Bombyx mori: one gene and its partners. The protein of the gene in region 1 purifies or fractionates together with the protein of each later gene. This does not show direct contact. Links are inferred from orthologs where the notes say so. Each region holds a gene or a part of one and is shown in the gene's direction. Other genes may lie near its edges.

Region 1 (5,971 bases):
GTTAAGCCCAAGCAGTTATAGCTATACCGTACCCATCGCTTATCCGCTGTGGTTTCCTTGCATGCATTACCATCAATGCAAATGTACGATTTATTACGGCCTCAGTAAAATGCAAAATAATTCCACTGTCATAGAAACAGTCCTTTCAGAAGGCCGTATTATATCTTGATGGACGCCATGTCACATTCAACATTCAAGACACTCCAGAAAGAGTAAAATGAAATGCGAAAGAGACGCCAAATCTGATTTTAAGTAGTGGCAAACATTTTAGGTTATTTTGTCTATGATCTTTTCGCTCAATCTGAGTTCACAAGAAACTACTGATGAATATCCTCATCACCACAGGAGTTTCATGCGGCTCAGATATTATGATTCACAATTACAATATTATTATTACAATTAGCAACAAATATTTAAATTATTAGTTGGACATTACTCTCTCATAAAATCTAATTTTATCTAAAGTGCTTGAATGATGAGCCCTTTTTGTGTTTATCCTCCCCTAAAAATTTAAGTAATATAATTTTATACCGGTCACTCACATTCGCACGAGTACGCAAACCCGCAAGTGTAGGACGACATTTGCAAATTATTATGCAAAGTTTTCGCTGCATTCGTGGTTTTCAAAGCTGTGTCGATTTTTAAAACAGAGATCAAAGCGCGCGAACCGCGATCCTTCGCGTAGTCTCCCACACATTCGTGTGACCAGTAGACTTGCGCAAAACATCACTTCCCAATGTAATGTGATATGACATCACTTTTACAGATAGGTGATATTACTCGAAAACATTACACATCACTCATAACATTACTCGGTGCGTTCAAAGTGATATGTATAAACACATCACTTAGGTAATGATTCGGGTGTATAGATACAATGTATTCGTCGTCACAGTATCTATTGAACGCACCGAGTAATGTTAAGAGTGATGTGTAATGTTTTCATCAATCATTACCTAAGTGATGTGTATAAACACATCACTTAGGTAATGATTCGGGTGTGTCATTACAGTAGTGTATTACAATACAAAGTATGAACTTTGTATTGTAATACACTGTTATATTACTTGACAGATTGACTTACTTAATAATATAATAATTTTATTTTTTACTTAATATAATTTATTGTGGGATGAACGGATTTCATATGGCGACTTAGACTGCAAATTGAGCTCGACAATAATGTTAATATACGAGAGCAGTAGATGCATTGTTTCGGCGCGATATCCTCAAAGTGCATCCAAGGAGGACTGTACTTTCATTTAGACGCCGTTATTTCTTTCACTTATTAAACACGCATTAAAACAAATAATAAAACTATCTTCAAACAAGTGCTTAAGTAATTCAAATCAAACACAAAAATTAATATGAAATATTACTAAACAATTACGAGCGACTAGCGATTTTACAAAAGTTGCGAATAAAAAATTAAGTAAGTACTTGCGGGGAGCTACCGGCTGGCCGCATGAAAAATATAAACACAAATACCTATATTAAAATTCAGACGTACCATAGGTATAAAAATGTACCTAGCGGCCAGGACATACGGTTCAAAATCACTAGGAATAATTCCGTGTCGCTTGCTCATTTATTTTGCGTCGATCGGTCTGTCTCGCTCGCTCGGTTCCGTTCGTGTATTAAGCAACATTACACGACAAAGAAAGAAACATGTTGGGTGATAGTGTGATGTTTGTTTCCTTCGCGTAATGTGTGATGTTGCATTACATCGTAGAGTAATATTACCCGAGTAATATCACTCGCATTACTTACACATGTCTAGTGACCAGTTGCGCCCAGGATTGCGCAAGCAACGGACGTTTCGCTATTTTCATAGATCGTGACGTCTACGGTGTAGCGTATCTTCATCAAAAGAAATCCCATAAAAACAGCATGACTGTTAATGATGTCTGGGAAAGAATTCAAAACTCTTTTTCTCTGCAATTTTCTATTGACGAATTAAAAAGGAGGAAAAATTCGTGAGACATTCGTAAACAAGTGTAGGAGGAAGCGCAAACGGGTTCGCAAAATGGATTCCGAACCCATTTGCACAGCCACTAAGTTTGCGAATGAATGTTTGACGGCCCTTCACATGCGCGCAAACATTCGTCCAATGTACGAATATTTGCGCGCATGTGAGTGGCCGGCATTAGTTATAATTACAGACACTTAAATTGCTTTAAAACTGAAGTACCTATTCTAAAGTGAAGTTATAAAAAAAGCGTATGATGACTTCATCAGATACATGGTTTTTGTCCCCTTTGCTTTTCAAAGTAGACGAGTGGATGAAAAGAGTCTTTGGTCATTATCATAGATAATAAACATATTATTTTCACCCACTCTATACTCGAATATAATAAGTGTATAATCTATGGGTAGGTAGGTACCGTGCCTACGAAAAGCAACGAGGCTATTTGTATTTAAAATTGTCATAGGTGCCCAAGACGGTGATTTTATTTTCTGACAACTATCATCAAAATGGCTAAAACGGTGGATCTAGAATTAAAACAAGCGTTTGTCGATTTACAAGTGCTAATGATTGAAACTAAAAAGACTATTGAAAATATAGATCACCAGCTTGCCGTATTGGGACGCATGCAAATGCATACAAATCTTACTCAGCGTGAAATCGACGTGCTACCACCTGGAACGAAAACCTATGAATCTATGGCAAGAATGTTTGTTCAATCAGACTTAGAGCATATTAAACAGAATTTGAGACAAAAAACCAATACATTGATAAGCCGCATTGACGATTTAAATAATCGAAAGGTATGTTTAAACCACACTTTAAATGAAAGTGAGTCCAACATCAGAGATTTGATTCAGCAAAAAAGGATGAAAAATGAAAATCAGCCAGCAGCAGAATCAAACCCAATACCTTCAAAAAAATAGATGATTGGAATTATAATTATCCACATGAAATCAATTGTTAATGAAGCAACTTTGTCTATTAATTTTTTTTAGCTAATAATACAATTATAATATAAAATAATTATCTGTACATAGAAAAAACTGTCTACAATTGTAAGCAACAATGATTTGCATCACATGAGATTGCTCAACAAACAAGTCGGTGTATTATTAAAATAATGTACTGTATTATTAAACAATATAATAAAAGGATTGAATATCATAAAATACGAGGGGTAAAGAATTTGTTCCCACAAATATTTTATTTGTTATATTATGATGACATTGTACAGTTTACAGTTCGAAACAAGGAATATTAAATTATAGAGCAGTGCACTGCTGTAATATAACAATAAAAATAAGCTGAATGCAAAATTCCACTCTATTATCGTACCAAAATAAATATTAGTCTCATAACGTAGGTATCCTGTTATCATCTTCTAAGTTGTAGTAGATCAAGTGTTTATCATTATTTCTGTTATAGAATTGGTATATTTGATATTACTATTTCAATTTATGGAATAGTTTCCTTATGTCTTGTATAAATTTCCATTGGACAACTTGCTGGTTCATTAACAATACATTAAATATCTTGAATATATAATAACAATGTTTTATAACTTAATGTTTTTCAAATTTAACAAATATAATATTTTTAAAATTAGTAACATATTTCTTGCATTATTAGTAATATATTATTGCTTTATAAGTTGCTGTTCATTAAAATAGCAGAGAATAAAAAATCTAAATGTATCACAATAAATTATATTAAATCCTTTTTTTTTTCATTTTATGAAATTTACATTGCATTTGAAGTTGTCATGGCCTAAAGGATAAGACGTCCGGTGCATTCATATCTAGCAATGCACCGGTGTTTGAATCCCGCAGGGGGTACCAGTTTTTCTAATGAAATACATACTTAACAAATGTTCACGATTGACTTCCACGGTGAAGGAATAACATCGTGTCATAAAAATCAAACCCGCAAAATTAAAATTTGTATAATTAGTGGTGTTGGACCTCTTGTGAGTCCGCACGGGTGGGTACCACCACCCTGCTATTTCTGCTGTGAAGCATTAATGCGTTTCAGTTTGAAGGGTGGGGCAGCCGTTGTAACTATGCTTGAGACCTTGAACTTACATCTCAAAGTGGGTGGTGCATTTGCATCGTAGATGTCTATGCCTCTATAGGCTTTAGTAACCACTTAACACCAGGTGGGCTGTGAGATCGTCCACCAATCTAATAAAAAAAAGCTGTTATTTCTTATGATAGGATTGAACATCAACTCACAGATAAATGATAAAATTATTTTCAAATAATCGTTTGAATTTCAAGTTTTCATCAATATTGTTAGTGGTTTCGAAGTTAATGAATCATATCTTCCAATGTTTTATGAAAAACTTCTGAACCTACACTGATTAGAATTTGGCTAGGTCATGTTTATGAAATACTTTGCTAATTACATATCTATACTAATTTTATTTAAATTTCGGTTTTTTGAAATTCAAAAATTGTTTTGATCGCGAAGAAAACGACGTTCTGTTCCCCTAAGTGCAGTGGGCAGCCAAAATCCTGTCACCGTCGACTGCGTCGTCAACTCGTACCCCAGAATATACTACTGGGTCATAAGAAGATTAGGTTTTAGCGCACATCTAAGATAACTGAGCGATCGTCAAACAAATTATTTTTATTATGTTTGCATAGTGGCTGAAACATTTTTTATTGCTCAGATAGGTGGACAAGCTCACGGCCCACCTGGCGTTAACATTGAGACATTTACGTAACTGCTGCCCAGTGACACGAATTTTTTGTTGACGTTTCATTTCCATAAGTTTCATATTTCAGTACTGCTGCCACACACCTTGAGACAAGAGTTCTAAGGTCTCAGTTGTTACAGTACAACGGCTGTCCCTGCCTTCAAACCAAAACGCATTACCGCTTCACGGCAGAAATAGGCAGGATGGTGCTACCTACTCGTGCGGACTCACAAGACTTCCCTCCCACCACCAGTAATCAGTATTACAGTTAGGTATTTACAATATTATACCTAACTATTTCTTTGTCTTTTTTTCAATATGGCAATTAGGTACCTACTTAGGATGCCTTTGCTCCACTTTGCTCCCAGTGTTGACTTTTTAAACATCTTCCATTTTTAAGTAACAATTTAATTGAAAAATGGAAAATTAAGAATAAATGAGAAATGGGGCAAAATTAATTGAAATTCATTTATTTGAAATTGTGAAGATGAAATGTCACGAAATTGTGTCCCAATAAGATGGAGTGTTTATTTAAGACTGCAGTGAGATTTTAACTTTATTTCATTTTCCCACATTTTTACACAATTAAACTTGAAGAAATAATAAGTAAATAAAAAAAAACTATTCACACAACTTCATCATTCTCGTTACTACCTTTTTTTTCTCTCCTACCTATTCTAATAACTTTTTTTTATGATTGAATGATTACTGGTGGCCCAGAGTTCTTTCCAGATTCACCAGGACAGGTGGGCGAGCACGGGCTCAGCCAAGAGGAGGGGGATTTGCTAACAGCTGCCGAAGCGCCTCCGAAGGAGACCTCTAACAACTCAAGAGCAGCTGCTTCGCGAATGAATCTACTACCGGGTCGGAATCGCAACCCGCTGAGAAGATTCGACTCAGCGGGCTAATGCGTGGCTTAGGTTGCACGTCGAACTCTTTGCCGAGCTCGACGAGTACGGCTACCGTGGTCCCTTAGCCTGCTCCTAGTGTTAGAGCTGAAGGCATCTAATGCAAGAGTTATTGGATCTGATGGATCCGTAAGGATGTGTCTAGGGTAACGACGGTGACTGGCTCCTGCGTGATCAGGATTCGGGGAGTAGTCAGCGGCGGCAAGGGTAAGGCGATTATCATGACGCATAGCTTATCGAAGTAACGTTCCGACGCTGTCTTCATGTGTTTGCGGAACGATTCGAGGTTTTTCAGGCGACGACTAGCCTGAAAAACCGGGATTGTAGGGATTGGAGGGTGTCTATGTGTGTGCGAGTCGCGTGAGCGAACACCGACCCGTCTAGCGCTTCGCCGAT
Region 2 (5,545 bases), on another chromosome or scaffold:
TTTTCGGCCTCATTAGACGGAGACGGAGATATTTACGTATATTCATGTTTCATTTTATGTACGCACTGAAATACTGTTATATTGTTTTCCTGCGAGTTAAAGTGCTGAGTAAGAACGAGATAGATATATGTTTATGTATGTGCCTTCAAAATGGGTGCTATTTATATAAGCAATTGTACGTATAGAACAATATGTCGTGTCCCTACTATATAGGTCTATGCTAATCATACCAAAACGCGGGTTGGAGGTTGAGTCGAGTTGAGTTAAGCTCGTGTAAACGACTGAAGATACGGGTGTAAGTCTAAAATTATGGAGCTGGGCCTCAAGGTGGCGCTCAAGGAAACCCAGGACCTGTTGCTTCACAGGCCTCGAAATCCGCCACCGTCGCCGTGTTGCCCATCTCGTTAACTATGACATCCGCATCGTAGTGGTGGTGCAACTTTAGTACCCCCAAATGGAGGCTCGTGGCAACATTGGTCGTCATTTCGAAATCGGCCCCCGCCTAATAACGACGGCCGGCTTTGTGACGGTAGCTATCATACAACGCAAGATATTTGATAGATACCTGAATCTTGTTTACGATATTTTCAAGACAAGCTTCCATTTAAACAAGTTCCGAACAACAACATTCAGACCGTCAGTCTACCGAGCAATATCATCCGCTCGGTGGAAGATCTTCCTTTCGTCGTTTAAGCCTCCCACAGGCTTCCTTCAAATATCAATGTTCCACAATGTTCTCATGACAATGTACAAGACTCCCCTATGGTTCGCTGCTGAATAGGAGTGAAGACGGAACCTCTGCGAAAAGTGCGTACTGGCCTTGTTGGACTCGTAATTTATAGTTTTTTAATTTGTTAATCTGTTTCACGTGACCGAGTGAAAGGGATGCTCTCGAACTCATCATTAAAAATTAAGAAAATCTGTTAAATATAGTCGACGTGTGTATGATCCCAATTATTTTCGATAGAAAGAAGTTCAAGAAAATTCACACAACGAACAGTACCGTAAAATGGGGCGATTAGGGATTGAGAGGCGAATTGGGAAAAAACCGGGAAAATCTTTCGACAGTCAATATTAGTTTTATATTCGTTGCAAAATCTTCCATTTTTTCTAGTTTAATAGTAGAATGTTGAAAGTTCACAAAACAACTCTGAATATGCATGATAATAGCTGCTAACTTATAAAAAATCGCGTTTCAAATTAACTTCCTGTGGTGGTCATTATTTTGGTGCTAGAAACTTTGCTCTCTTTTATTTATTTGATATTAATAGAAGACGACTGTGATTTATACACGTTATTTAGTGTTTGAGCCATCATATATATTAAAGGTAAGTCTCAGTTGTTATTGGTTTTAATGTATTTGATAAAATAAAAATACATGTAAAAATCTGTTGTTTTTGGGGATATTGGGGACGTCTTAGGTACAAATAACAACGAAAAAGGGGTCAATTGGGATGAGAATACGTGAAATGGAAACGAGCTGAGTATAAATAGGTACAGGTTTGTAGGGTTGTCTATGTAGTTATAACAATATTTTTTAAATTTGTTGGTAAAAATCTTGTTTATTCATGATGTTTTTGTCTAGAACTTTTATTCAAAATTATCAATGTGTTATTTTATTGTTTGGTAAATACTTATATTATCAGTTACGTACTGTTTTCTATTTTTAGATAATGCCTCGCGTGTACGTATTAAAGAGTGCAAAGCCTTAAAAGAGATATGATCCCTTAATATTAAAAACAGCAATAGAAGCCTTTGAAATTGGGAATAAGTCTTTAGTTGAAATAGCTAAGCAATTTAATATAAGTAAGTCGATTTTGCACAGACATCTAACAAGAACAATGAAATGTCAAGGTGGACAAAAATGTCTAAGTAATACATAGTAAAATATTTAATATTTGTTCAGAGTGGGGGTATTCATCTGATTAATCCATGGAATAACCAACACACCTAATCTCTTAACCCAGATAAAAATATCAGCCCCTAAGTACTTACCAAGAACGAAAAAATATAAACCGTTTATAAGAAAGCTTACTCTCCTTTGGGACTACAATAATGTCCACGGTAGCATGGTCTCCGTCAATGTTCATTCGGAGTTGTCCGATTACGCTGAACTAATTTTAAGTGATGAAATAAATTTTTTTTAATTGTATCACAACTTACAGGACAAATCTGTCGCGGATCATTTCTCAAGTAAATATAAATTAATCATAAGTAAATAAATGTAATCAAGTTGATGATCACTTTGTTGGTGCAACTAAATAAATAAATAAATTAAAACCAAGTAGTGGCAGCCCTAGCAAATTTCTCATTTCGTCCCAATTAACCGCAATTTTCGGGTAAATAGGGATTACACCTATTTTTGCTTTTTTTGCTTAAACTGGAATGCTAGTTGCATAGTTTTAAATTGGACAACAAAGATGCCCCCAAGACTCAATCATTTCGATCCTGATATAGCATTATATACATCAACATCTACCTTAAAATTGGTCATAAAGTTGGAATTTGTCCCTAATCGCCCCATTTTACCGGTACGTAGTGACACTTGAAATTTTTTGTGTATTATCTATGGTTAATTTCAAAATCAATGTCAGACAAATGACAAAACCATAGAGAATACACACATAACCCATAGATTATACACTTAATATATTTGAGACATAACCTCAACTAAAATTTTTGAGCAGGTGAAAAAAAACGGAAAAGATTTCTGTATTAAACTGTTTATTTTCTATCAAATCATACCTTGACTGAAACACAATGGCGGAAGAAATACAAAAAAAGTTTCAAAAACAGCTCGAATTATTTCAAGGTGTTCAAAAAGACATAAAGAAAGCGGTCACTCAGAAACAACAATTAGACAGCCAGTTAAATGAAAATAAAGCAGTCAAAGAGGAACTAAAACTCTTAAGAAAAGATTCAGAGGTATACAAACTCATCGGACCCGTATTGGTGAAGCAAGATTTGGAAGAAGCCAGACAAAACGTCTCCAAACGTATGGAGTACATTAGCAAAGAAATCAAAAGAACAGATGATCACATATGTGCTTTAGAAAACAAACAAGAAGCACTGCAAGAAAACTTAAATAAACTTAGAAATGATCTTGGCAAACTAAAACTAAAAGCTTGAAAAATGTGTGAATTAAAAGTAAAATATTTCTATTCTTCTATTATGACTCACTTGTATGTTTAGAGAACTACTATTACAAATAAAAATATTACACATTAATAATTTAATGTATGTTTAGCTATGCAATAATCATGAAAAAACTGCTGTGTGGCATTACACTAAACTTACCTCTTCCTTTTGTTAACTCAATATAAAAATAAAAAATCTTACTGAAAGTAAGTTTTTATTTTACTGCCATTGCAGGCAGATGTTTGTGGCCCTCCTGATGTCACCATCACTCATAGACATCAGATATGCCAGGAGCACAGCCAAACTGCTGCCTATTATTTACTTATTATTTATTTTCAAAACTAAAATATTTTGTTACTTGTACATATTTATTTTTGTGTGTATAAGCTGAAAGTTTGCAAGGTAATTGACGGTATAATGAGTACCATTAGTTTTGAAACCAGATTCATCTTAGAATAATTGTTCGCTTCTATTACCAGTAGTTTTGTATATTAACCTAAAACCATATGACAATCTAAAAAAAATTGGGTAATTTTTTGTTTTTAAATACCTATTACAAATGTTATGTATTGCATTTGTATACAAATGGTCGGCATAATTTAAGCTGGCAGTGGAGAAAGTGCACAAATGTAATTTAATAAACTTATTCTAATTATGTTTCCAATGATTTATTCAATAATTAATACTGCTCATAAAGAATACAGGCATAAAAAAAATTGTGTCTTGAATCTCAACATAGTGCAACTTAATCACGTTCAAGATACTCATTCTCCTGCATTAAGCTACATAAAGCTAAAGGCATTGAAGTTACAATGTGTCACTATAAAAAAAATACACATTTATAAGCTTTTGTACCCAATTTAAGAATTATATTGTTCCTAATGAATCCCAAGAAACTGTAACTTTAGTATTAATAAAGTTTGTAACTTTCTAAAAAAAATACCTTTTCTTTTTATGCAGTCTACATTTCTTGAGTCACTGTTCATTACTGAATTAGGATATCATCCATAGTTCTCTGCGACTAGCCTTTTTGAATGCAGAGAGCTACTTATGGTGAGCTTCTTGTGTTTACCTGATCAACCTGAAGATGCCTGACTTCTTGAAGGAGCTGGAACAGTACTTGTAGATCACTCCAGCCAACAACCAGCGCTGGTTAAAAGCTCAAGCTGTAGAGAACAGCCTATCTACCAACTACAATATCATAAAGTGCTAAATTTAAATCGATACCTGGATTACAGTACCAAGTATTTATCTCTATAACACTCGACAATATTACGAAAACCTTCGTAATAAGGTACCTACAAAACTTGCATACGCCCGGTCATGACGCAAATGTAATGATCCCTCACGCACTAATTTGAAACCCCTTCAAGCACCGTGGTTTTTAAGGAATGTGGTTCTCCATGATGACCTGGAGCTTGACTCAATCAGTAAGTTTAAACAGTCGGCATCAACTCGCCGCTTTGAGAAAACAGTACGAAACAAAAACACTCTTGTTGTGGCCGTCGGAAATTACATACCTGTGGACCGAATGGTAAACAGTCGACGTCGCCCTAAACACGTCATTACGAATCCATTAACGGTGCTTTTAGGTATCTCAAACACCGGTCACCGTCCTCGCCGAACCCGTTGCTCGCGACGAAGGGCTCAACGAGCGAATTAATCCATAGACAAAGCTCACTGAGTTTCTCGCCGGATTTTCTCAGTGGGTCGCATTTCGAATCCGGTGGTATATTCTGCGAAGCACTGCTCTTGTTAGGGCCAGTGTTAGCAACACCTATTTGAGCCCCGAGAGCTCACGCACACGCAGCGTAACGCTGATATAGCCTCTTGAAGGCTATCATCATAGGTAGGGGAAAAAAAGCTACGAATTTTTTTTTTTATTGCTTAGATGGGTGGACGAGCTCACAGCCCACCTGGTGTTAAGTGGTTACTGGAGCCCATAGACATCCACAACGTAAATGCGCCACCCACCTTGAGATACAAGTTCTAAGGTCTCAAGTATAGTTACAACGGCTGCCCCACCCTTCAAACCGAAACGCATTACTGGTTCACGGCAGAAATAGGCAGGGTGGTGGTACCCACCCGCGCGGACTCACAAGAGGTCCTACCACCAGTAAAATGATTACATACTGATATTTTAGCAAGAGCACTTGACCTTTGCTGTAATTTCATGTCGTGCATCCGTTATTGAATTGAATAATTATAGTTTTAATGAATTTCGGCTAGATATGAATATCATTAAACTTATATCCAGATGAAATTTCATTGAATGTTAAAAGTGAAATTGATCACTGACATCAGTTCTGGTTTGTAGAATATCTTGTGTTTTAACTTGATTTAATGTAAAATAGTTATAAAATATAAAACGAGATGGACCGACGACCTGGTAAGAACCGCTAGGTTG
Region 3 (7,045 bases), on another chromosome or scaffold:
AGCGAAAACAATTGGACATAAAGCTAAGAAATATGTACTGGTTGACTGGAGGGAAATCCCAACTTTCGCCGGAAAGTAAAATTTTAATTTACAAAACCATCTTAAAGCCAATATGGACATATGGCATACAGCTTTGGGGAACTGCCAGCAATAGCAATGTCGAGATCCTTGAAAGGTTTTAAAATAAAACTTTCAGAACAATGGTAAGAATACCGCATTACATAAGCAACAAGATCATACAAATGGACCTAAATATTCCCACAGTGAAAGAGGAAATAGTAGCTTACAGCAAAAAATACCAAGCCAGGTTATCGACACACGTCAATAAATTGGCGTCGGACCTAGGAGGCACAGGAGCTGTGCAGTTTACTAGATTAAGGAGGCACAGTATACCTACCTTACAGAACAGAAATTAAATCGTACAACAAAAGATGAAGATATCACTGGACAACTGATTCTGTTTATATCACTACTAAGATTAAAATCAGCCAAAGGAATAGCTCATTGTTAACTAATCAAGATCGCTACGAGACATTAAATTATAATATTGAGGGAAATAATATGAAGATTATTAATTTGAGACATTATTCAACTGGGATGAAATTAAATTAAATGAGATGAGATGAAATGTAATCTCACTAAAATAGTGGTCATTTACTGAGATTTTTTCAGTGGACTTTTTGGAGGGTCCCAAGAGATTATGTCCAGCGGCTTTGTTTCATTTTCCCACATTTGTGCACTTTCACAAATATTAAACAGCTAATAAACCACTGTTATTACACATTTCAACACATTACACATTTACACACTGTGGTTAATATGTGATCATTACGTGATTTTTTGAAGTGAAACTTTTTTAGAATCGTTGTGTTTTCAAACTCGATGAAACGAAATGAAACGAAACGAAAAAATAAGTGTGCCGCGATTGGCTTGCCGAAGCGGCTCCGAGCGGCGCCGACAAATCACGAAGCACTCCACACGGTCTCGCATCCTCGACTAGTTCAGTGTGTTTTTGATGTCCGTGCATGCTGTCGTGGCTCTTGGAGCGCCCTGAGATACTTTTATTTCTATTTAGTTTGTTATCAACAGATGTCACTGCACGTAAACTCAACAATTCCTGAATCGCGGTGATGAGATGTTACACAGTTGATAAACGTTCTCGTATTTCTCTTGTTCAATCACAACCACTTGGAACATCCTACTCCCGACTAGGCGCGTTAACACTTCCGCCTCCGCCATTCGCCTCTTCATCATGTACGACCAACCCATACCGTCGGCCCCGAAGGTCAAATACTTAGACGTCACCCTCGACAGAGAAATGACATTCCGCCCCCACTTGAAGACGGTACGTGATCATGCCGCCTTCATACTAGGATGTCTCTACACTCTCTATCCGATGATATGCAGGCGAAGTAAATTATCCCTTAGAAATAGGGTGACACTCTACAAAACTTGCGTACGCCCTGATATGACCTATGCAAGCGCAGTGTTCGCTCACGCGGCCCGCACTAGCTTAAAATCATTCCAAGTTATTCAATCCCGTTTTTGCAGGATAGCCGTCGGAGCTCCACGACGACCTGGACTTAGAGTCCATCAGTAAGTATCTTCAGTCGGCGTCAATGCGCCACTTCGATAAAGCGGCACGACACGAGAACCCTCTCATCGTGGCCGTCGGTAACTACAATCCCGATCCTGCGGTGAGAATGGAAAGCTGTCGACGTCGCCCCAAACACGTCATTTCGGATCCTCCCGATCCACTAACAGTGCTTTTAAGTACCTCAAGCACCGGTCATCGTTCTCGTCGAACCCGTCATCGTTCTCGTCGAACCCGTCGCTTGCGACGAAGGGCTCGACGAATAAAGTAACCCTCAGACACAGCCCACTGAGTTTCTCGTCGGTTCTTCTCAATGGGTCGCGTTTCCGATCAGGTGGTAGATTCTGCGAAGCACGGCTCTTGCTAGGGTTTGTGTTAACAACATCATCCGGCTTGAGCCCCGTGAGCTCACCTACTAGTTAAGGCGACACTGATATAGCCTCTCAAGGCTATCAGCATAGGTAGGAAAAAAATAATCTAATCATACTTACTTGGCGTAGGGATACGGTGATCATGCAGGCGGTTTCCCCCAGGGTGAGGCTGCTCCATTGCACTATGGAGTGGTTGACCCTTGCGATAATTTTTATTTTTTAAAGGTTTCACTTCTACCGTGTGTGACTTGCACACACGTCACACATACATTTTTTTTTTCTTATCTAAGCTGGGTATTACGGATAAAATGTTCCTACCTATAGTCCTAACCTTGCACCTTCAGACTTCCACCTGTTTCGATCTCTTCAGAATTTTTTAGGCATTGTCAGGTTAACATCACGAGAGGACTGCCAAAACCAATTGTCGCGGTATTTTGATCGGAAGCCCCATAGCAATGGGATCATGTCCCTACCTACAAGATGGCAAAAAGTTATCGAACAAAATGGTACCTACATACTTTAGTTAAATGTAAATAAACAATATTAAAAAATGTGAATTTTCTTAAAAAATGCGAAGAAACTTTTTCCCCAACTATTGTACTATTAGAACTTAGTAGTTTAAATTTTATTAGTAATAGACAAAGACTTTAATGCTTTTAATCTAAGGATTAGGATATTATCAAAATACGTCCCAAAAATGCTTTTTAAATATAATAGATGCTTTTCAGGAGTTGGTTGTCATGACTCAAACTTATCTCAAGTGTTTCACAAACTATGGTCACAATTTATTTGAGGGTAAAGATTTTCTTGTGAAGTAATAAAAAAAAAAATTGCCTAAAAGGTAAAGTAGCCAGCGTTCGCAAAAAAAAAACTGACATGTACATTAATGTACATAACCTAATCCGTGTATTCGATAAAAACTAGTTAATTTGAGTTTTTGTTAATTTAAAATACATTTACATGTTCTTTTATTTTTAAAACTTTCAGTAAACCGTGATTATTTTTACTTTTCAAAGAGAGTTAAATTGATTACTCTTTTTTTAAAACTATATAAAAAAAAATCCTAAAATTTTGATTTCCATTTCCCCTACCTACCTAGAGTAAAATGGCTAAAAATACATCAAAAGTAGGAAAAAAAACGAATGAGGAAATCTTTGCTGGTTTCCAAACTCTTCGTAATGAACAACGTCAATTAGGGAGTAAAATATCAGAATTACAAATGGAGTTAAACGAACATAAGTGAGTAAATGTGGAATAAATCTATTGCATATCAATCTACTGCTTAAAAAAATACAAAATACATAGTAAATTATGTCTACAGGATCGTAATTGAGACTTTGCGGGGAGTGGAGTTGACCCGTAAGTGTTTCCGGATGTTTGGGGGCGTGCTTGTCGAACGCACCGTAGCTGAGGTGTTGCCAGAGCTGATCAGCAATTATGAACAGCTACCTAAGGCCATCCAGTCCCTAGAAGACCAACTCACTCAGAAGGGAGAGGAGATCAATAAATACATTGAGGAACATGATATTCGCATCCAACGTGCTGATCGCACCATGCCTGAACCACCTCCAGAGCAATCCACCTCTACCAAGTCTAATGTGCTAGTTGCTAGCGGTTAACTATACTGATCCTTTCATTTCATATAGCTGTCGCAGTGTATTGACAGTGAGACTAGTCCTACATTTGCCTAAAGCAGTGTGAGGTAGTACTGGGAAACTTTTTATTATTAACAATACTATTACGGTGTGGCTTGATAAATTAGTTCTGGCTGATGTTTAGGGGCAAGGGGGGCAAACATGGTATTATGAAGCAGTACTTTATGAATATGATGACAAGAAAAGGAAAATCTAACTGAATATCCATCTCAACCAGATAAATAAATCATTTTAGTGTGACAATACTCCAAGACACTTAACCACATATTTAAAGAAAGGAATACTACAGCGAAAACTCCACAGAGAATAATTAATTCCCCAGCTGAATGTGCTCAAATAATGTGGAATTAAACTCAATAAACAGTTTTTTCAGGCAGTAGAATATGAACCCTTGTCTAGTGGAAAGTAGTATGATAATAAACTTTAATAATAAAATAGATCTTGAACAACTTTTCAACACTTTTCATGGAATATGTAATACAAATGCAGAGAAGCAGTCTCTTTGTCCCAACAATTATGAGAATAGCTTCATTTAAGAAGTCAAGACAATATGGAGTTTTTTGTTGTTGTCCTCACCATTCTTTAACAATGTCTAAGGTGACAGTGATATATTTCTAATCAAAAACAATAAGCTTTGAATGTTTAAACTCTAAACATTAGAGTAATATATGAGAGAAAAATAATTTAAATAGTAAAATGTTTTCCACATTGTGCTATATGTATATTCCCAATGCTGTCACAGCATCTGAAGCTCACCTATGCAGAGTCAATGTGATTGGTAGGCAACTGTAATAAGTAGAAATATCACTGAAACCTTGAGAGTATTGTTTAACTGTGTACATAGCTTTAAGGTTTACTGCTATTTTGAAGTGTTTGGCCAGTTAACAAGCCTGAATGCCTGAATTTTTCATTTGCCCTTGCCCAGACGAGCATACGGCTCACCATTGCCAGGGGTAGAGCCAACTTACTGCCAACAATTTGAATGATATACTATACGCATGTCCGAGTTCAGAGATGAACTATGGCAATCAGGTAATAACTTTGTGTAAAAAGTCTCAACTGAAAAGTTAATAAGTTTGGATAATTTATTACTTGCACCATACTCTAAGTGAGCATGGTTAGATTATTACCTTATTTCTATGGACAACTATACAATATAATTAAAACTTCCTATACTCTTAGCAGGATGGTGACATTCATAATGTTGTCAGAGGTCTGATAAAATTTTAATACCAGGTGGGATGTCACAATAAAACAGTGACAACTTTTTCTGTTTCATCAGGTGAATTTTAATATGATTATAAAACATGATCATGGCTAGATTCATATTTGGTTTTAATTTTTGGAACCTTAAAATTTATTGTTACTTAAAATAAAAATAGCCAGGAATAACAAGAAACTTTATTTTATAATATAGAAAAGAATAACTAAACAAAAAAAAGTGTACTAATATTTATTTCATGTAAAGTAATTTTGTATAAAATATATTTCTGAAAAATTCATTTTTGTAGTTTGGACTTGTAAGGGTCTGACGACTAATCTCCAATACTGTTGATACCACAGAGGATAACAAACAATTGGCATGCAAGTCCTTTCGTTGACATGTTTATTGTAATCCAAACTTTACATTTAGTCGGGCCCTGCCTTCTTACCTCCATGTATCAGGTGGGGTATTAGAAACCACAGTGGATGGATTTAGGTTTTTTTACAATGTTTCCACTTAAAATAGTTCTGAGTGTTGTGCTGGCGAACTATGGCGTCTAGTGGAGCCGCACGGCGGGCGCCACTAACATCCATTTTATTCCAAGAAGCAGTTACGTTCAGGTAAGGTGGAACCTTCAAAAGCAATTGAGATTTCGAACTCATATTTCTAGGAACGAAATGAAGTAGAATGAATATTAGAAGGCCATACAGTTAGTTGGCCGAGCAATTCGCATAATATCCCGCGCACAGCACATCTAAATGTCTTACAATTTAACAGCTTTGACTGTTCCTCAAGTTTGTTGATATACCAGTCATATATGATGATGTTCTATGATAATCCAAAATAATTGCAATCTAACATTCTGCATTCCGTTAGCATTGTGTTATGTCCGTGAGAGGCGCAGCCGGAGCCCAGTGTGAGAAGATTCTAATGTCGCATTTGATTAACATGTATTTAAATTATAATAAAATTTGAAGACTTAACGTTGTTTTTTATTAACATCCAGTAGTTAATTTTGTTCTTGGTTAATATTGTACAATAGCACCATTACCTTAAAAGCTAAATTCATAACCACGAAGTAAAGCACGAGGAGGAGCGAGGGCACAGCGTTACCGCGGCGCGGCACTACCCACTAGTCACAGGTTTGTGGTGACCAGTTAGAAGTGTGCGAGGTCGGTGGGCGCGTAGGTCTCCTTGGGGTCGAGCGGGGTCGTGTCGGGGGCGCGCAGGGGCGGCGGGGGCGAGCGGGCGCGCGGGGTCGACCCGCCCGACTTGTGCACCACGCGCAGCTCCGACACCGACATGTGCTTGTCCACCGCCTTGCACATGTCGTACAGCGCCAGCGCGGCCACCGCCGCCCCCACCAGCGCCTCCATCTCCACCCCCGTGCGGCCCTCCGCCCCCACCTCGCAGCGCACCCGCACCGCGCCCCCCGCCGCGCACTCCCCGCCGGGCAGCGACACCCGCACGCGCACCAGCTCCAGCGCCAGCGGGTGGCAGAGCGGGATCAGATCGGACGTGCGCTTTGCGCCCAGCACTCCCGCGATCTGTAAGGAGTGTTTGACTTAATCATTCATTTTAAAGATTCCATTTGGGTCTGCATCGAATTCGAGAAATAAATTACTTCGGCAACGGTGAGCGCGTCTCCCTTGGGCATGGCGGCGTCCCGGAGCAGGCGCAGCAGGCGGCCGCCGACGCGCAGCTCGCACTCGGCGGCGGCGGCGCGCTGCGTGCGCGGCTTGGAGCTGACGTCCACCATGCGGGCGCGGCCCTGCGCGTCCAGGTGCGAGAGGCGGGCGGGCGGCTCGGACCCCCCGGACCCCCGCGACCCCCCCGTGCAGTAAGCGCGCGCCTGTAGCCGGCCGCTCCCCCCGACCCCCTGTACTTTGAACGCGCGCCCGTCTCTCGAGGTTAAGTCACCTACCCGCCTATGAGAATCATGGGCCGGTTCTCCATGTGCGCCAAATTTTGCATTCCTATAAGTAGAGGAAGGATCAGCGAGAGTGCGGAGGTTGGCCGCCCCCCACCCCCCGGCCCCCCGTCGCTCGCCCGCCTCCTCGCGCCGCCCGGACCGAGCTCGCGCTACTGAAATACCAAGAACGCGTCGAAACTCGTTCCAAGACGAACAATGTTAGTAAAGGAAATGAGCTGATGCAGCACAAGCGGGTTCGGGACGAGGGGGACCGGTGATGCTACATTCGTGCAGTGCTGATTGTGCAGA
Region 4 (7,196 bases), on another chromosome or scaffold:
CACCAGGTGGGCTGTGAGCTAGTCCACACATCTAGGCAATAAAAAAAAAATGATTTCATACTTATGAAGAGTGTCATGAAAATATCAAATCAAATTGGTGAAGATGGACTGCTGTTTACATTAGAGTAAGAAAGCATGTGATTTTTATATGTATATATTCACTATAAATATTCATTCAAAATAAATAAAAATAGAAAACTAAAAATCTTTCATTTTGCAATTTAAATCATACCTATTTGTTTTGTAGAAATAGGCAAAATGTTCTCCATTCTTTAGTTTTTACAAAACTTGTCTCGAGGGCCAAGCCAAATTTCACATGACAAAGTCACATCTATACTTACACATGTAAAATAGTGCAATCAAATTATAGGTATTGATCATTTCATCAATAATACATACCCTGTTCCATTCAGAATTTGTATGAGAGTACGACTAAACCCGCATCTTGGAGTTTCCTTGTTCCCTTTCATGAATACCATTATATTATGCTTATTTATTAAAGCTTTTAGTCGATCTTCAAGTTTCTGAGGGGTTATTTCTGCAGGACTCTTATTAAGACTCTGTGCTTTAATTTTTGTGCTAATTTGAGCAGCATCTGCTCCATCAATCCTGTCTACTTGAGTTCCATTCTTAAATAATATAACTGTAGGCACTGAATCTACCTGAAATAAACATAATCATTAATAAGTTGTCTAAAACAGGCTTTCCCTATTTTGATTGTTTTCATTATAAATTATTTCAATATTCAATTACATAGGCTCTTTGATTGCTTAACTGGTCTAGTGTAGTGTTTCCTAAAGTAGTCTATTTCAATCTGAAGAATGACATAAAGTCTTTAATGCATAGTTGAGTAACCAAAATCAAGATACAAATTGATGTATCCATAAAGGTATATAAGCCGACTTAACCTAATAAGTGTATGGCTTTAATAAATAATAAAAAAAGTATACACAGGTATTGCAATAGGTGACTTAATTGTCTGTGCTTTATGATGCACTACATTTTTAGGGTTAGCACTTATTACTTTTTATTTAACAATATATTAGCAGAGCATTACCTTATATTGCAAGGAAACTTCAGAAAGTGCCTCGGCATCACAAACAGCACATTGTGTCTTGCTCGACTGAATTTCAGGAAGTTTTAAGAGTTCTTCAAGTACATCTGTAACTTGTTTACATTGTTCGGCCCATTCTGCTGAAAAGTGTACTACTCCAAGTGCAGGTGATCTAAATTAATTAAATAATTTTTGATATCAGCCAATACCAAGATAGATATTAAAGAATCATCTTGTTGTGATAAAAGATTAATTGAAAGTAATATTCTCAATTTTATATTCTAAATACATATTTCCATTTCAATGAATGCAAAATGTTGACCATCCTGCTACATAGTAATTTATTATCTAACATTTTTACCTATTTACTGTGTATTTAATTTAATTTCTTTTTATGGCTTATTTTTAATGATCCTTTCACAAACGGTTTTAAAAGTACTTTTTTATTAGCGGTGATTCTTACCTTATAAAATTATTAAAATCTTCAACAGAGTCCAATTTACTGACCGACATTTCAGTATACTATGTTTAGGTTACTTTAATAAATTTTGTAAACAGTATATAAGCGCCACTGGATTACAGCAAGATTGAATTACAATTACAGCAAGATCCGGAATCGTAGGTGTACTCGATGCAAAAATTACAATTTATTTAATCATGTTCATTCAGTTTCTGACATCTCTGATTAGGGATGTGGTCTAAGATCGATACTTGAGTAAATTAATTTGTTAACAACTTAAATCGTGAATAGTGAAACATCTTAAGCAGTAGAAAATCGAAATTTGATGAAAAGGCATTAATAAAGTATTTATGGTTCAACTGATTATGAATATATTAAATATAATGTTTATTAAATTTAAATTTACATTTTAAATAATAATAATTTAAAAAGTTGTTGTATATAAATCATGTATTTATTAAATTTTTTGAATGAATTTGTTGTTAATTTCTGTTTGATTGATTTTTGTGTCATTTTGGTTGCACTTGGGTATTTTCTAGAATCGATTTTTCAAAATTTTGGTCTGAAGTCGAATCATCATCTCTATTTCGAGCCAAATTTTTTTGTTTGATTTGTTTTTTGGACAAGCAAAAGGAGTCATAAATAATAAATAGATGTACACAATAAGGAGTTTTAGCAACACAGCGAAGTTATATTATGTCATGTATATCTTATTTATTTAAAATCGCTTAGCCATCTTATTGTTTACGGTTAATGATCAAGCTTAGTGGTAGATTTTTTTGTGTCTGAGCCAATTTTTTTGCTAATTTATATGGTGATTAAAAGGTTTGCTTAGTCATTGCTCTCTCGAAATGCTCGCAACATAATTGTTAACTTATAAATTTATTAACCTCTTTAATACGATTTTCGTTAGCGGTCAAATTGGTAGAAAACTACCAATATGACTAGCCAAATTGATACACACTAATAAATCCAGTTTAGTTTCTGTAAATTCTCAACATTTTACTAAGAGGTTTTCTTTATCGATTTGTTTTTTTCACTTATTTGGTGTTATAGGCAGAATTTGTTTGCATGTCAATTTGGACCAAACAAGTAAAACTGTCAAATTGACATATTCTGACTGAAGTTTTGGATCCTACCCGAAATCTACCTATTTTGAGGTTAGAAAAAAGAAATAGTCTTAGGATCCTACAAAAAACTAAATAGAATAACTAGAAACGTGTGTTAAGTTCTTTTATTATTTCCTTTTATTAATATTTACAAAGATGGCATCCGGTTCAGGCACTCAACAAATCGATTTAAACAAACTACCTTTGCCTCAACTAGCTCAATTGAAACAGCAGTTAGACCAGGTATGTATAAAGGAAATATCTATAGAGCTATTTTAGAAATAGTAAGCATTAAGTATTATTTCTTCAACATAATATAATTTATACAGATAATTATTAAATGTCGTAACTATTAATGTCCTTAAGAGACAGGACTTATGTCCTATTTTAAGGACCCTCATGAAAGCCGGAATGAAAACATTTCCATATGTTTTCTGGTCTGAGTTGTGTATCTAGGTGTACTTGTTAGTGACATGAACCCGGACCTCAAATACCAACTCACAAAGCTATGAATCTAAGATATGTTAAAGAGAAGACTTCACTGAATGTGCTCATTTTTGGTAGACAAGCAGTCATCATGTTGTTGTTCTGATCTTTTATTGGAAGACTATTTCGTAAACAGTCAGCTTCAGGTCATATCCGCTTTTCTTTATTGTATTGTAGCTATTGCTATAATTAGCCAGAAATGGAACATCAAACATAATGACTAAATTGAGGGAGACATTTTTTTTATTGCTTAGGTGGGAGGACGATCTCACAGCCCACCTGTTGTTAAGTGGTTACTGGAGCCCATAGACATTTATGATGTAAATGCGCCACCCACCTTGAGATATGTTCTAAGGTCTCAAGTATAGTTACAACAGCTTCAAACCGAAACGCATTACTGCTTCACGGCAGAAATAGGCAGGGTGGTGGTACCTACCCACGCGGAATCACAAGAGGTCCTACCACCAGTGAAAATGTGTCTGTATGTTAGTAACTGATGTTATGTTACAATATGCATTAGTAAAACGTCTGCCCTTTAGTCTTTAGGTCTACTTTGGGAGTACTTGGGCAGCTGTTAGTAAATCTGACTCCTCCTGGCTGCTCCCATGCTTGCCCTGCCTATCTTAGTGAAGCAGTAGTGGCCTCCTTGCAACCAGCTATCTCCATCCGAAAAAAAGGCAATACTCTCACACAAAATCCATAAAATTTTATTTCAGGAATTGACAGTATTTCATGATTCAATACAAACATTACAAATGGCTAAAAATAAGTTTGGTGAATCAGGAGATGTTCTAGAGAAGATGACGCCTGATATCAAAGGAAAACCGATGCTTGTTCCATTGACTAGTTCAATGTATGTTCCTGGCACAATAGCTGATGTTGAGAATGTCATTATTGACATTGGCACTGGATATTACGCTAAGAAAGTGAGTAACTTAAATCTATACATATAAATAAAATTGGAGTGTCTGTTTTTAATATTGAAATAACCGCTTTTTACTACATGCATATGAATATATACAGTACATACACCAAAATAACATTTTTTACAATTTTTGTCTGTCTGCCTGTCTGTCTGTTTGTTCCGGTTAATCTCTGGAACGGCTGGACCAATATTGACCAGACTTTCACTGATAGGTAGCTGATGATATAAGGAGTAACTTAGGCTACTTCTTAGATTAGGTTCGGCCCGCGGCGTCGGTTATTGTCGTACCACGGGATAACATCGCGGGACTCAGCTATCAATAATAAAATTTAATGTTTCCGAAGCGAAGCGAGGCGAGGGGGGGCGCTAGTTAAAAATAAATTTAAACCTAATTTAACACTTAATTCAGCTCCAAGTTTGGCAGGATAATATATCATGTATAGCTGCTGTTTTCATTTCAAACCTCATTTCAGAAAATGTTGAGTACTTTAGAATATTGGTATGAAGATTGAATCATGATATAGTTTCAAATAATTTCAAATTAACTGCATGGGTTACCCCTTAGGGCTAATGATGCTGACATATGTTTGTATTACGTTTTATTTCTGCTTCTAGGACATTGAAAGTGGCAAAGATTACTTCAAGAGAAGAGTAGAATTTGTTACAGAACAAATGGAGAAAATAAGTATGTTAGGTGCAGAGAAATCGAAACTCCGTGAAGCTGTTAATGCATTAGTTGAAATGAAAGTTCAAAACGAACTACAAGCAAAAAAAGCTAACTCTTCATAACATATCTGAGACTTAATTTAAAAAATATTTTGTGGAGAGATTCGTGTCCTTTTAATGTATAGAGTTGACCTAAATTTTCTGCTTTGTTAATTTATAGTTTATTTAAAGTATTTTAATTACTTTTTAAAACATTTTAATGATTACATCTTAGTGTTAAAAGTGGAATCATTTGTGTTTTGTTACCACGTATCACCCTGTCCTAATCAAAGTGGTTACTATTGCTTCTGTACATCAGTGATTTCAGAGCAAAGCCAAGTTTCTGAATGTATTAACGTAATCCCAACAGCTATGACTTATACTGATATTTTCTAATGTAAAGCTAGATAATATTATTAAGCCACATCAAAGCTTTTCCTCACATTTTCTTTAATTTTGGATAAATTTTGAAACTAATTACCTAAGGTAATATTTTGTGTTTAGAATACTCCTCAAGAGTACTACTCAATAGCATCAAGTAATGTTAATAATATTCTTAATTCATGTTTTGTAATTTTGTAAAGCTTTATATCATTTCAAACTATGTGTTTTACAAGTACAAGACTCATTGCTTAGTTTTAAATTTAATTCAATGTAACAAAATGTGCTTATGTTTAAAATAAATATATAAATATATTTCCAAGTTTTACTTGAACGATCCAGTATAACAAAAAAAAAACGCGGCTAAAACAAACATCAGCAAAAAGTGGCTTCTTTTTTTAAGATATATTCTGATACTGTTTTAAATGTTTTAATGATCTAATTATTGAATTCTGAAGAATAACACCCTGTATTGTTGTTGTATCTAGTAATAATCAAATTCTAGAAGGATAGTTACATACTCGTATAAATGTAATTTACAACTTTCTTACACAATCCATAGATGAGTCGACTATTATCAAAGCCGGCAATCTGACTTTTGGACAATTATTGGTAAATTAGAAAAACGAATTATTGACTTTGTATTCCATTGGCAGTCACAAAACTCCTCGGAACGACATCTTAGATAAATAACAGGTTAACTATTAACCTTTATTTAATGCAGGTTTTGAACCGTATTCTTTGAAGGAGACGATTATATTCAAATCAATCTGTATTGACATATCAATAACATTTTTTTGTCCAAATGCACAGATTGCCACCTTTGATAATAGACGACTCGGATGTCGCCTTTGTGTATTGCTAAACTCTTCTTTCTATAACTTACTAGGGACCCGCCCTCGCTTCGCTTCAAAACTGTAATTTATTATTGATTTCTCCACTACTTAATGGATGTTATTATACATATAAACCTTCCTCTTCAATCACTCTATCTATTAAAAAAACCGCAACAAAATCCGTTGCGTAGTTTTAAAGATTTAAGCATACATAGGAACAGACAGATATAGGGACAGAGAAAGCGACTTTGTTTTGTACTATGTAGTGATGATGATGATTAATGCAGTCTCGTCCGCGCGTAGCTACAATAGCCCCTTAAACTACCAGCAAATAGGTAGCGAAAAATGCACAGCTATTAGACTTAAAGTCTGTACAATATCACAGTTTAAAATAATTTAATTCCATGATTCGAATACTAGGATTTTCACTATCTCATAAGTATACCTACCGTAAGCGGCAATCTAGACGATCAATTATATTGCCTGGTATTGCGAACTTGGCAGTATTTTTGACTAGGGTTAATATTAAAGATTGCACGATGATTGAACGTTTTTAACTATATAGTTTAATTTTTATTGCACCATATTTATTTATTGCATCATGTACGGTCAGTGCAATGTTTTAAGTCTTTTTTTTTATGATTAAAGTATTACTGGTGCCTCGGAGGCCTTTCCAGGTTCACCAGGACAGGTGGGCGAGCAAATGCTCAGCCAGGAGGGGTGAGATTTGCTAACAGCTGCCTGAGCGCCTCCGAGACCAACTCAAGAGTAGCTGCTTCGCGAATGAATCTACTACCGAATCGGAATCGCGACCCGCTGAGAAGATCCGGCGAGAAACTCAGCGGGCTGATGGGTTAGGTTGCACGTCGAACTCTTTGTCGAGTTCGACGAGTACGGTTACCGTGTGTTTTTGTCTATGGTTCGTCTTGACAAGGAGTATACGCGCTGACTGAGTTCGCGAACATTGTGCAGTTCGTATTATTGTGCAATATAATTGATCGTTTAGATTTAGAGCGCCTTTAAACCTTATTCTAGGTACATTATATTGTATGGTACAATGTTATTGTAGGTCTAGGGGCCGCCTAAGACGTTATTAACAATCACGTCTTTTAAAAACACGGAACTTTCTTCAAATATTTAATGATATATCTCTCTCTCTCTTTCTCTTCGATCGGTTCCTCACTGCTGAGGATCGTGACTCCGTCCGATTTCGTCAGCCAACTGTCTCCATCGAACCCGT
Region 5 (7,032 bases), on another chromosome or scaffold:
ATATACTTAATGAAGCGAATTCTGAATAAAAAGATGTTAAAAAGAAAAAAAAAAGAAAATTCAACCGCATAGATATTTTTCTTTCCACGACTTAGCATGTTGAACTACAAAAACTTTTGGACTAAACCAATCTGGAATTTGAATATTATAGAAGATTTTAATAAAGTCTTAAGATTTTGATGAGAAACTGTCAGATGCTCGCACAAAACACAACAATATAATTTCCCACGATTAACATATTAATATAATTTATGATTCCTCATGTCATTTCTTTCTCATTTTTGGTTGCAAAAAATATAAAGCTAAAGATGTGTGTAAACAAATCTGAGAATAATAACTTTGAAAATGTTTTTTATTAAAAACTCATATTTTTTGTTACCTAAATCAAGCACTTGATAAGTGGAGAATACAACAATAATTTAAATATAAAATAAATTCGTAAAATTTTACTTCAGAAAAATTTATTGTTTGAATTAATTTTTGTTGACTCAGTCGTAGCTTCGTCTAACAATTTATATATTAGATAACTTGGTATTTCTTGATTTCTAGGTCTTTCGAACACTAATATTGCCAATATCTCGAATGAATAAAGTAACTGTGTTTACAAACAAGTGTCTACGCGTCACCTGCTATAGACAATCACTAGACCGAGAGAAAGGCGCTTTCCACCAGTTGTATCCTACTTATTCGACTGCACAATTATTTTGCCTCATTTAGTGACTGTCATAATAGTTTAACAATTAGAAAACCATACATTTCTGAATAGGTACAGGAAATTAATGACTATACTATATGAGTCGTCTATTATCAAAGGTGGCAATCTGTGCATTTGGACAAAAGTTTTTTATTGATATGTCAATACAGATTGATTTGAATATAATCGTCTCCTTCAAAGAATACGGTTCAAAACCTGCATTAAATAAAGGTTAATGGTTAACCTGTTATTTATCTAAGATGTCGTTCCGAAGAGTTTTGTGACTGCCAATGGAATACAAAGTCAATAATTCGTTTTTCTGATTTACCAATCATTGTCCAAAAGTCAGATTGCCGGCTTTGATAATAGTCGACTCATATCTGATATTTTATTTTAATGTAATCTATAAAAATAAAAGATTTTTGTTCAGTTACTGCACTCAAATAATGTACGTATTTAATTAAAAATTAAAGTTTGTGTTTTATTGTAATGTTAATCATATTTTTATTCAATATGATAATAATAATATATTATTAATTCTTAAATAGGTAACGGGTTTTGCATACCGGTGGCGGTTCTGATGTGCTGTATACTTCAGAAGGCGGATATTCCGGCTTCATAGTTATTGTAGCCATCGAGTCTGGCTGGTGTTCTTTTTCCATCACGACCTAATACTGTTTATCAAAATTTATTTATTGCTCGTCTCTGGGTAACGCGCACTGTGTCTGATGTTCGAAGTTGAAGTGCGGGTCTGCGGACAACTTAGGACAAGTGAGTGGTGTCGTCGAGCGTAGGCGCAGAGAACGGCCGTGGTGGGGTCGCCGGTCGCCCGCCCGGTTTTGCATTCTTATACAATGGCTGAAAATACCGCTTAGATCCATAATAAAAAATCCGTATCAGTATAATATTGCTCTATTCATTTCATTCAGATCATTCGAAGCATCAATCAATCAAGGGAAACACACGGCACAACGGTATCTGATATTAAATTATGGGTAATATTCTAACTTATTTTGAAATAATGAAAAGGATAAATAAATATACCCAGATACGTTCCAGATGAACTTATCTGGGTATTTTTATTAACATAATATATATTCATTTGTAGTAATTCTCATTCAACATTCTCGTTTTAGTCTCCTACCTCCGAATTTTTGTGTTGAGTGGAATGAAATCGTTATCTTTCTTTTTATCTTTCTTTTTATTTAGGAGTCTTTGTAGACTATGATTCCCCCGTCCAGCCTGCTTCTACCGTGCACATTCAGGTATATACCGATACATTCGTCAAATCTTTAATAGGTATACGAAGTCATTCATATTATAGTTAGGGCTGCTGAGCGCTGTGAGACATACCCGATCCTGTAGATCGAATGGTAAGCAGTCGACGTTGCCCAAAGCACGTCATTACGGATCCTCCCGATCCATTAACGGTGCTTTTAGGCACCACAAGCACCGTCCTCGTCGAACCCGTCGCTTGCGATGAAGGGCTCGACGAGCGAATTAACCCATAGTCATAGCCCACTGAGTTTCTCGCTGAATGTTCTCAGTGGGACGCATTTCCGATCTGGCGGTAGATTCTGCGAAGCACTGCTCTTACTAGGGTCAGTGTTAGCGTCACTCCGGTTTGAGCCCGGTGAGCTCACCTACTAGTTAAGGTTACGCTGAAATAGCCTCTCAAGGAGGGACTTCGGTTCCCTCTGTATTTTGTACCGTATGTTCCATGGGGAGTGCTCTGAGGAATTGTTCGAGATGATACCGGCATCTCGTTTTTACCATCGCACCGCCCGCCACCGGAGTAGAGTTCATCCATACTACCTGGAGCCACTGCGGTCATCCACAGTGCGTTTCCAGAGGTCTTTTTTACCACGTACCATCCGGCTATGGAATGAGCTCCCCTCCACGGTGTTTCCCGAGCGCTATGACATGTCCTTCTTCAAACGAGGCTTGTGGAGAGTATTAAGCGGTAGGCAGCGGCTTGGCTCTGCCCCTGGCATTGCTGAAGTCCATGGGCGACGGTAACCACTCACCATCAGGTGGGCCGTATGCTCGTCTGCCTACAAGGGCAATAAAAAAAAAAAAAAAAAAAAAAAAATCAAGGCTTAGGTAGGAAAAATAATTTTGTAGAAGTTTTTTTTCCACCAAGCTGATCCAATGTCAATTTTGTTGTTCGAAACTTAGGTAGTCTAATGAGTCATAATGAGCAGGCACCATCTTACTGATAGGTTGTTCCTTTTAAAATCAACCATGCTGTCTCATCTTATGTTGAATTTGGTTACATTTTATTCCATTTAATCATCATCAATCATAAAATCAATAAACATCCAAAATCAATTACTATTCACTCCGTTCGGCCTTCGTTACAAACATGGCTTTATAGGCTAAGTTCCTTTTGCCTATTCAATGAACAAATTACGCTTAAAAAAAGTGAACAATAATGAACAATTTCGATTTGAGGTTAAGCGCAGCCGAAATTTAATGCTTTATGTTTAAATATTGATAGTAAACATGTCAACTACAGCTAAAGGAACTTTTCAGCCAGTAAGTAAATGTGCAATACTTATTTTTGTCAAAACATAACAAGCAGAAGAAATTTACTGTATTAATTAACCATATTGAGACCATTTTAGGTACGAAACATGAACATTCTATTGAATTTCATTTATTTTTCTCCTCGGCATTCTAGGACTCTGATGTACACATTTCATATGAAGATCAACAAAAAATTAACAAGTTTGCTCGTCTCAATGCTAAAGTTGACGATTATAAGGATGAGCTCAAAGTAAAACAAAACGATGTAAAGAACCTAGAAGAAGCAGTTGAGGAACTGAGCCTTGCTGATGATTCTGAAAAAATCCCTTACCTTATTGGTGAAATTTTTATTTGTCAGAATTTGGAAATTACTTTGGTAAGACTATCACATTAATATTCTTTAAAATTTCATTAATATTATATATTTTATTAACTAAAAGTAAAATAGTGGTCATTTGATAAAAGAAAGTTGCAGCAGTTTATCCTAAACTTATTTATAAAATAATGTATGTTCAATCTGATATTAATGCTTCAGTAAAAAGCGAATACCAAGAGAATTATTTAAATATTTTTCAGTGCATATCTCAAAAACAAAAACTCACTCATCTTTTGACAGATTACTTAATGCATTTTGTAGGATCATATACAAGCCTTAAGTTCATAACAAATTTTTTTGACCCTTTTAGTGCTAAGCTTGTTAGATTATAGATTTTTAGAAACATACAATTTTCTCTTTCTAATATATAAAAGTGCCTTATTTGTAGGTTAAGCTTGATTGAAGATTAGTTAAATATTAATCCAACTGAAAATTGAGAACTAAAAAATATCCAACTATCTAATCTCATTTTATATTTAAACTTAACACTTAACTCAATAAATAAAAAAGGGTATATACCCTTAAATAATATTATATATGAGTCGACTATTATCAAAGCCGGCAATCTGACTTTTGGACAATGATTGGTAAATCAGAAAAACGAATTATTGACTTTGTATTCCATTGGCAGTCACAAAACTCTTCGGAACGACATCTTAGATAAATAACAGGTTAACTATTAACCTTTATTTAATGCAGGTTTTGAACCGTATTCTTTGAAGGAGACGATTATATTCAAATCAATCTGTATTGACATATCAATAAAAAACTTTTGTCCAAATGCACAGATTGCCACCTTTGATAATAGACGACTCATATATATTTAAATCTAGTATTATAATTTTATTCCAGAAAAATCTTGAGGAAGCTAAAGCAAAAAAAATACATGAAATTCATGATTTAGAAGAAAAATGTGAGGAACTAAAATCACAAATGAGTGACTTGAAAGCACACTTGTATGGAAAATTTGGTAGCCACATTAACTTGGAAAATGAGGAAGATTGAAACAACATTAATTTTGTTCACAAAAATTGTACTCATATTTTAAGCTTTTAAGTTACATAGGCTTCACATCAAATAATTATTGTTATTCTAAACTTTGTTGTTTTTACACAATAAGAATTTATGTTTCTTAATTCGAAAATTGGCTGACCTACTTCAATGCAGTTTAAAATTACAGTAAAGACTTATTAAGTTCAAAGAAATGGTCCTTAAATATAGAACAAAATATATTATTGTTGTTATCTAGATTTGTGGAATATGTATACTGATTTTTCACTTAAGTTATTTTCCATTACTATAATATACACATCAATTATTTATTATCACGATAACTAAATATGTTTTAATAAATAAATAAAAATATAACAGACATCATTCTATGATGCATTTTCATAAAAGGGAAACAAAGTACATAATAAAAAATGTTATTACTTGAATAGTGGTACATAGCTAACCTTGTGCTTATGTAGTTATGTTGAAGGTGTGAAAATGTTTTGGGAGTTACTCCAAAATTGATATCTATCTTTTTTAACTTTCAATAAATAATTAAACATGAAAGTTGCATTCGTGACTTGTCAACTTATTCAGGTCTTGTATTTTTATTGAAATATATTATACTAATTAAAAGTTTCATTATTACAATAGACAGTAGACGTACATTAGTGAATCCCAGTCATGCTATGCTGTCACTATTAAGCTTTTCTGAGGTGTTTTACACAACAATACCTTATATGATATAGAACTGTTATTTTTTTTTATTCCTAGGTGGGTGGACGAACTCACAGCCCACCTGGTGTTAAGTGGTTACTGGAGCCCATAGACATCTACGACGTAAATGCGCCACCTACCTTGAGATATAAGTTCTAAGGTCTCAAGTATAGTTACAGTAGTACAGTTATAAGTAGTCTTTTTGAAATAACACACCACCTTTTTAGTTAGAAAAGGACAAAGTACACTTTCCCTCTCTTTAAAATCAAGGGCATACCATAATATTTAAGGTATACGCTTTAAGGCTTTAAGTATTAAAAACTGAAAAATTACAACTCTTCAATTACATTTTTGGCTTCTTCAATTTCAATTATATTTACCAAAAAACAAGAATTTTGCCATAAGTGCGATGTATAAAGATTCTAGTTGTGTTCCCTATACGTTACTAAACCGTTGATTAGGTAGTAATAATTTTATGATAATTAAATAATAATAAACCTTAACCTTATTAACTGAACTCATTTGTATTAATGTCATATTTTCATAGAATCTAAAATCGAACCGCTCATCTCACCACTGCATGTAATCGATAAATTATAATTGTATTAAAATTTTGTGTGAGATTAGTATGTGTTACTTGTGATTTATTTTGATGATGCATAATAATATGTGGTTGGAGCTCCAGGAGAGGTTTCTGTCATAGTACCATAAACATAAATAGCGCATGAATAGTTTCAAGAAATATATCTTTTTCACACAATTACTTATAGTCACGGCAAAGCGTGACCAGGATTACTAGCATAAACATAAACCTTAAAATTTATTATCACAAAATTAATTTGATTAATACAATCATACTAATTTATCAAACAAATAAAGCTACTAATCATAATACTAATACAATATAATACAGAAGAAAAACACATTTTATGTGCACCACTATTTTATGTGCAAATATACACCACCGCAAAATACAAAGCTTCATCATTTCCAATATCGACAAAACAAAATGGCATATCTGAAAAAATCTCAGGCAATTTTTGGTGCTTCGAATTCTTTGGTGTGTTTTCCATTAAGTACAATGTCTCGGCAACACATTCGCCTGGCTATTACTATCAATAAACCTAAAAATAATATTGCTGAAAAAAGGAACATATCCTAAAGACAGGGCTGTTTTATTTTAAACCCGGGTTTTATAAATATGAGGCGAGAATTTAACGGTATACTATATTATGCTGATGCGTTTTACAATTTGTACCAAACAAATTCGACTCTTCGAACGTACCAGACGAGCCCTAACATTTTCTACAAAAAGTCGATGTCAAAATAGTTTAATCAACGATATATTATTATTATAATAGATGCGTAACTGTGCTTTAGGTTAGGCACTGACAACAAAACTTTTTTTTTATCATGAAGAATAATCGCAAATAATAATATTCAGGGCCTAACTTAGCCTAAGCACTGAAAAATACCACCTCATTACCTACATCCTACATAAATTGAACATAATTTATCTTCATTAACAAAATGCTAAATGCGATCAACATCAATACTATAAAAACCAAATTTTTTTTAGGCGCTAGTAATAAGTAATAACCCAACGTTTAGTACACCTTAAACGTAAATTTACTGTTTATATCTTTATTGCTTCTACACCAAATTTTCCCGCCTTTAGAAGTTTCGGACCCTTGACCACTAGCTCCTATTACAATGACCATTT

Evidence for each region.
Region 2: the proteins of prefoldin subunit 1 (region 1) and prefoldin beta subunit purify together in Homo sapiens (affinity purification with mass spectrometry; 6 studies listed by BioGRID and IntAct, with this or other methods). This does not show direct contact. The link is inferred for Bombyx mori from reciprocal best matches to the Homo sapiens genes PFDN1 and PFDN6.
Region 3: the proteins of prefoldin subunit 1 (region 1) and prefoldin subunit 2 purify together in Homo sapiens (affinity purification with mass spectrometry; 5 studies listed by BioGRID and IntAct, counting the BioPlex papers as one, with this or other methods). This does not show direct contact. The link is inferred for Bombyx mori from reciprocal best matches to the Homo sapiens genes PFDN1 and PFDN2.
Region 4: the proteins of prefoldin subunit 1 (region 1) and prefoldin subunit 5 purify together in Homo sapiens (affinity purification with mass spectrometry; 7 studies listed by BioGRID and IntAct, with this or other methods). This does not show direct contact. The link is inferred for Bombyx mori from reciprocal best matches to the Homo sapiens genes PFDN1 and PFDN5.
Region 5: the proteins of prefoldin subunit 1 (region 1) and probable prefoldin subunit 4 purify together in Homo sapiens (affinity purification with mass spectrometry; 5 studies listed by BioGRID and IntAct, counting the BioPlex papers as one, with this or other methods). This does not show direct contact. The link is inferred for Bombyx mori from reciprocal best matches to the Homo sapiens genes PFDN1 and PFDN4.

The regions. Positions count from the first base shown.
Region 1 is NC_085107.1:9,946,581-9,952,551, forward strand, and holds prefoldin subunit 1, read left to right. Parts: upstream 1-2,340; 5' UTR 2,341-2,475; coding exon 2,476-2,892; 3' UTR 2,893-3,686; downstream 3,687-5,971. Other genes in the region: WW domain-containing adapter protein with coiled-coil homolog, read right to left, coding at 33-73. UniProt on the Homo sapiens protein: Binds specifically to cytosolic chaperonin (c-CPN) and transfers target proteins to it. Binds to nascent polypeptide chain and promotes folding in an environment in which there are many competing pathways for nonnative proteins.
Region 2 is NC_085112.1:4,986,384-4,991,928, forward strand, and holds prefoldin beta subunit, read left to right. Parts: upstream 1-2,629; 5' UTR 2,630-2,760; coding exon 2,761-3,129; 3' UTR 3,130-3,618; downstream 3,619-5,545. UniProt on the Homo sapiens protein: Binds specifically to cytosolic chaperonin (c-CPN) and transfers target proteins to it. Binds to nascent polypeptide chain and promotes folding in an environment in which there are many competing pathways for nonnative proteins.
Region 3 is NC_085129.1:192,651-199,695, forward strand, and holds prefoldin subunit 2, read left to right. Parts: upstream 1-2,714; 5' UTR 2,715-3,070; coding exon 3,071-3,204; intron 3,205-3,286; coding exon 3,287-3,584; 3' UTR 3,585-5,122; downstream 5,123-7,045. Other genes in the region: molybdenum cofactor biosynthesis protein 1, read right to left, coding at 5,982-6,371, 6,449-6,909. UniProt on the Homo sapiens protein: Binds specifically to cytosolic chaperonin (c-CPN) and transfers target proteins to it. Binds to nascent polypeptide chain and promotes folding in an environment in which there are many competing pathways for nonnative proteins.
Region 4 is NC_085112.1:5,060,884-5,068,079, forward strand, and holds prefoldin subunit 5, read left to right. Parts: upstream 1-2,623; 5' UTR 2,624-2,779; coding exon 2,780-2,866; intron 2,867-3,825; coding exon 3,826-4,035; intron 4,036-4,649; coding exon 4,650-4,823; 3' UTR 4,824-5,435; downstream 5,436-7,196. Other genes in the region: glutaredoxin 3, read right to left, coding at 400-662, 1,058-1,226, 1,518-1,567. UniProt on the Homo sapiens protein: Binds specifically to cytosolic chaperonin (c-CPN) and transfers target proteins to it. Binds to nascent polypeptide chain and promotes folding in an environment in which there are many competing pathways for nonnative proteins.
Region 5 is NC_085117.1:12,409,038-12,416,069, reverse strand, and holds probable prefoldin subunit 4, read left to right. Parts: upstream 1-2,896; 5' UTR 2,897-3,199; coding exon 3,200-3,232; intron 3,233-3,377; coding exon 3,378-3,599; intron 3,600-4,451; coding exon 4,452-4,604; 3' UTR 4,605-5,228; downstream 5,229-7,032. Other genes in the region: EN protein binding/engrailed nuclear homeoprotein-regulated protein, read right to left, coding at 1,261-1,356. UniProt on the Homo sapiens protein: Binds specifically to cytosolic chaperonin (c-CPN) and transfers target proteins to it. Binds to nascent polypeptide chain and promotes folding in an environment in which there are many competing pathways for nonnative proteins.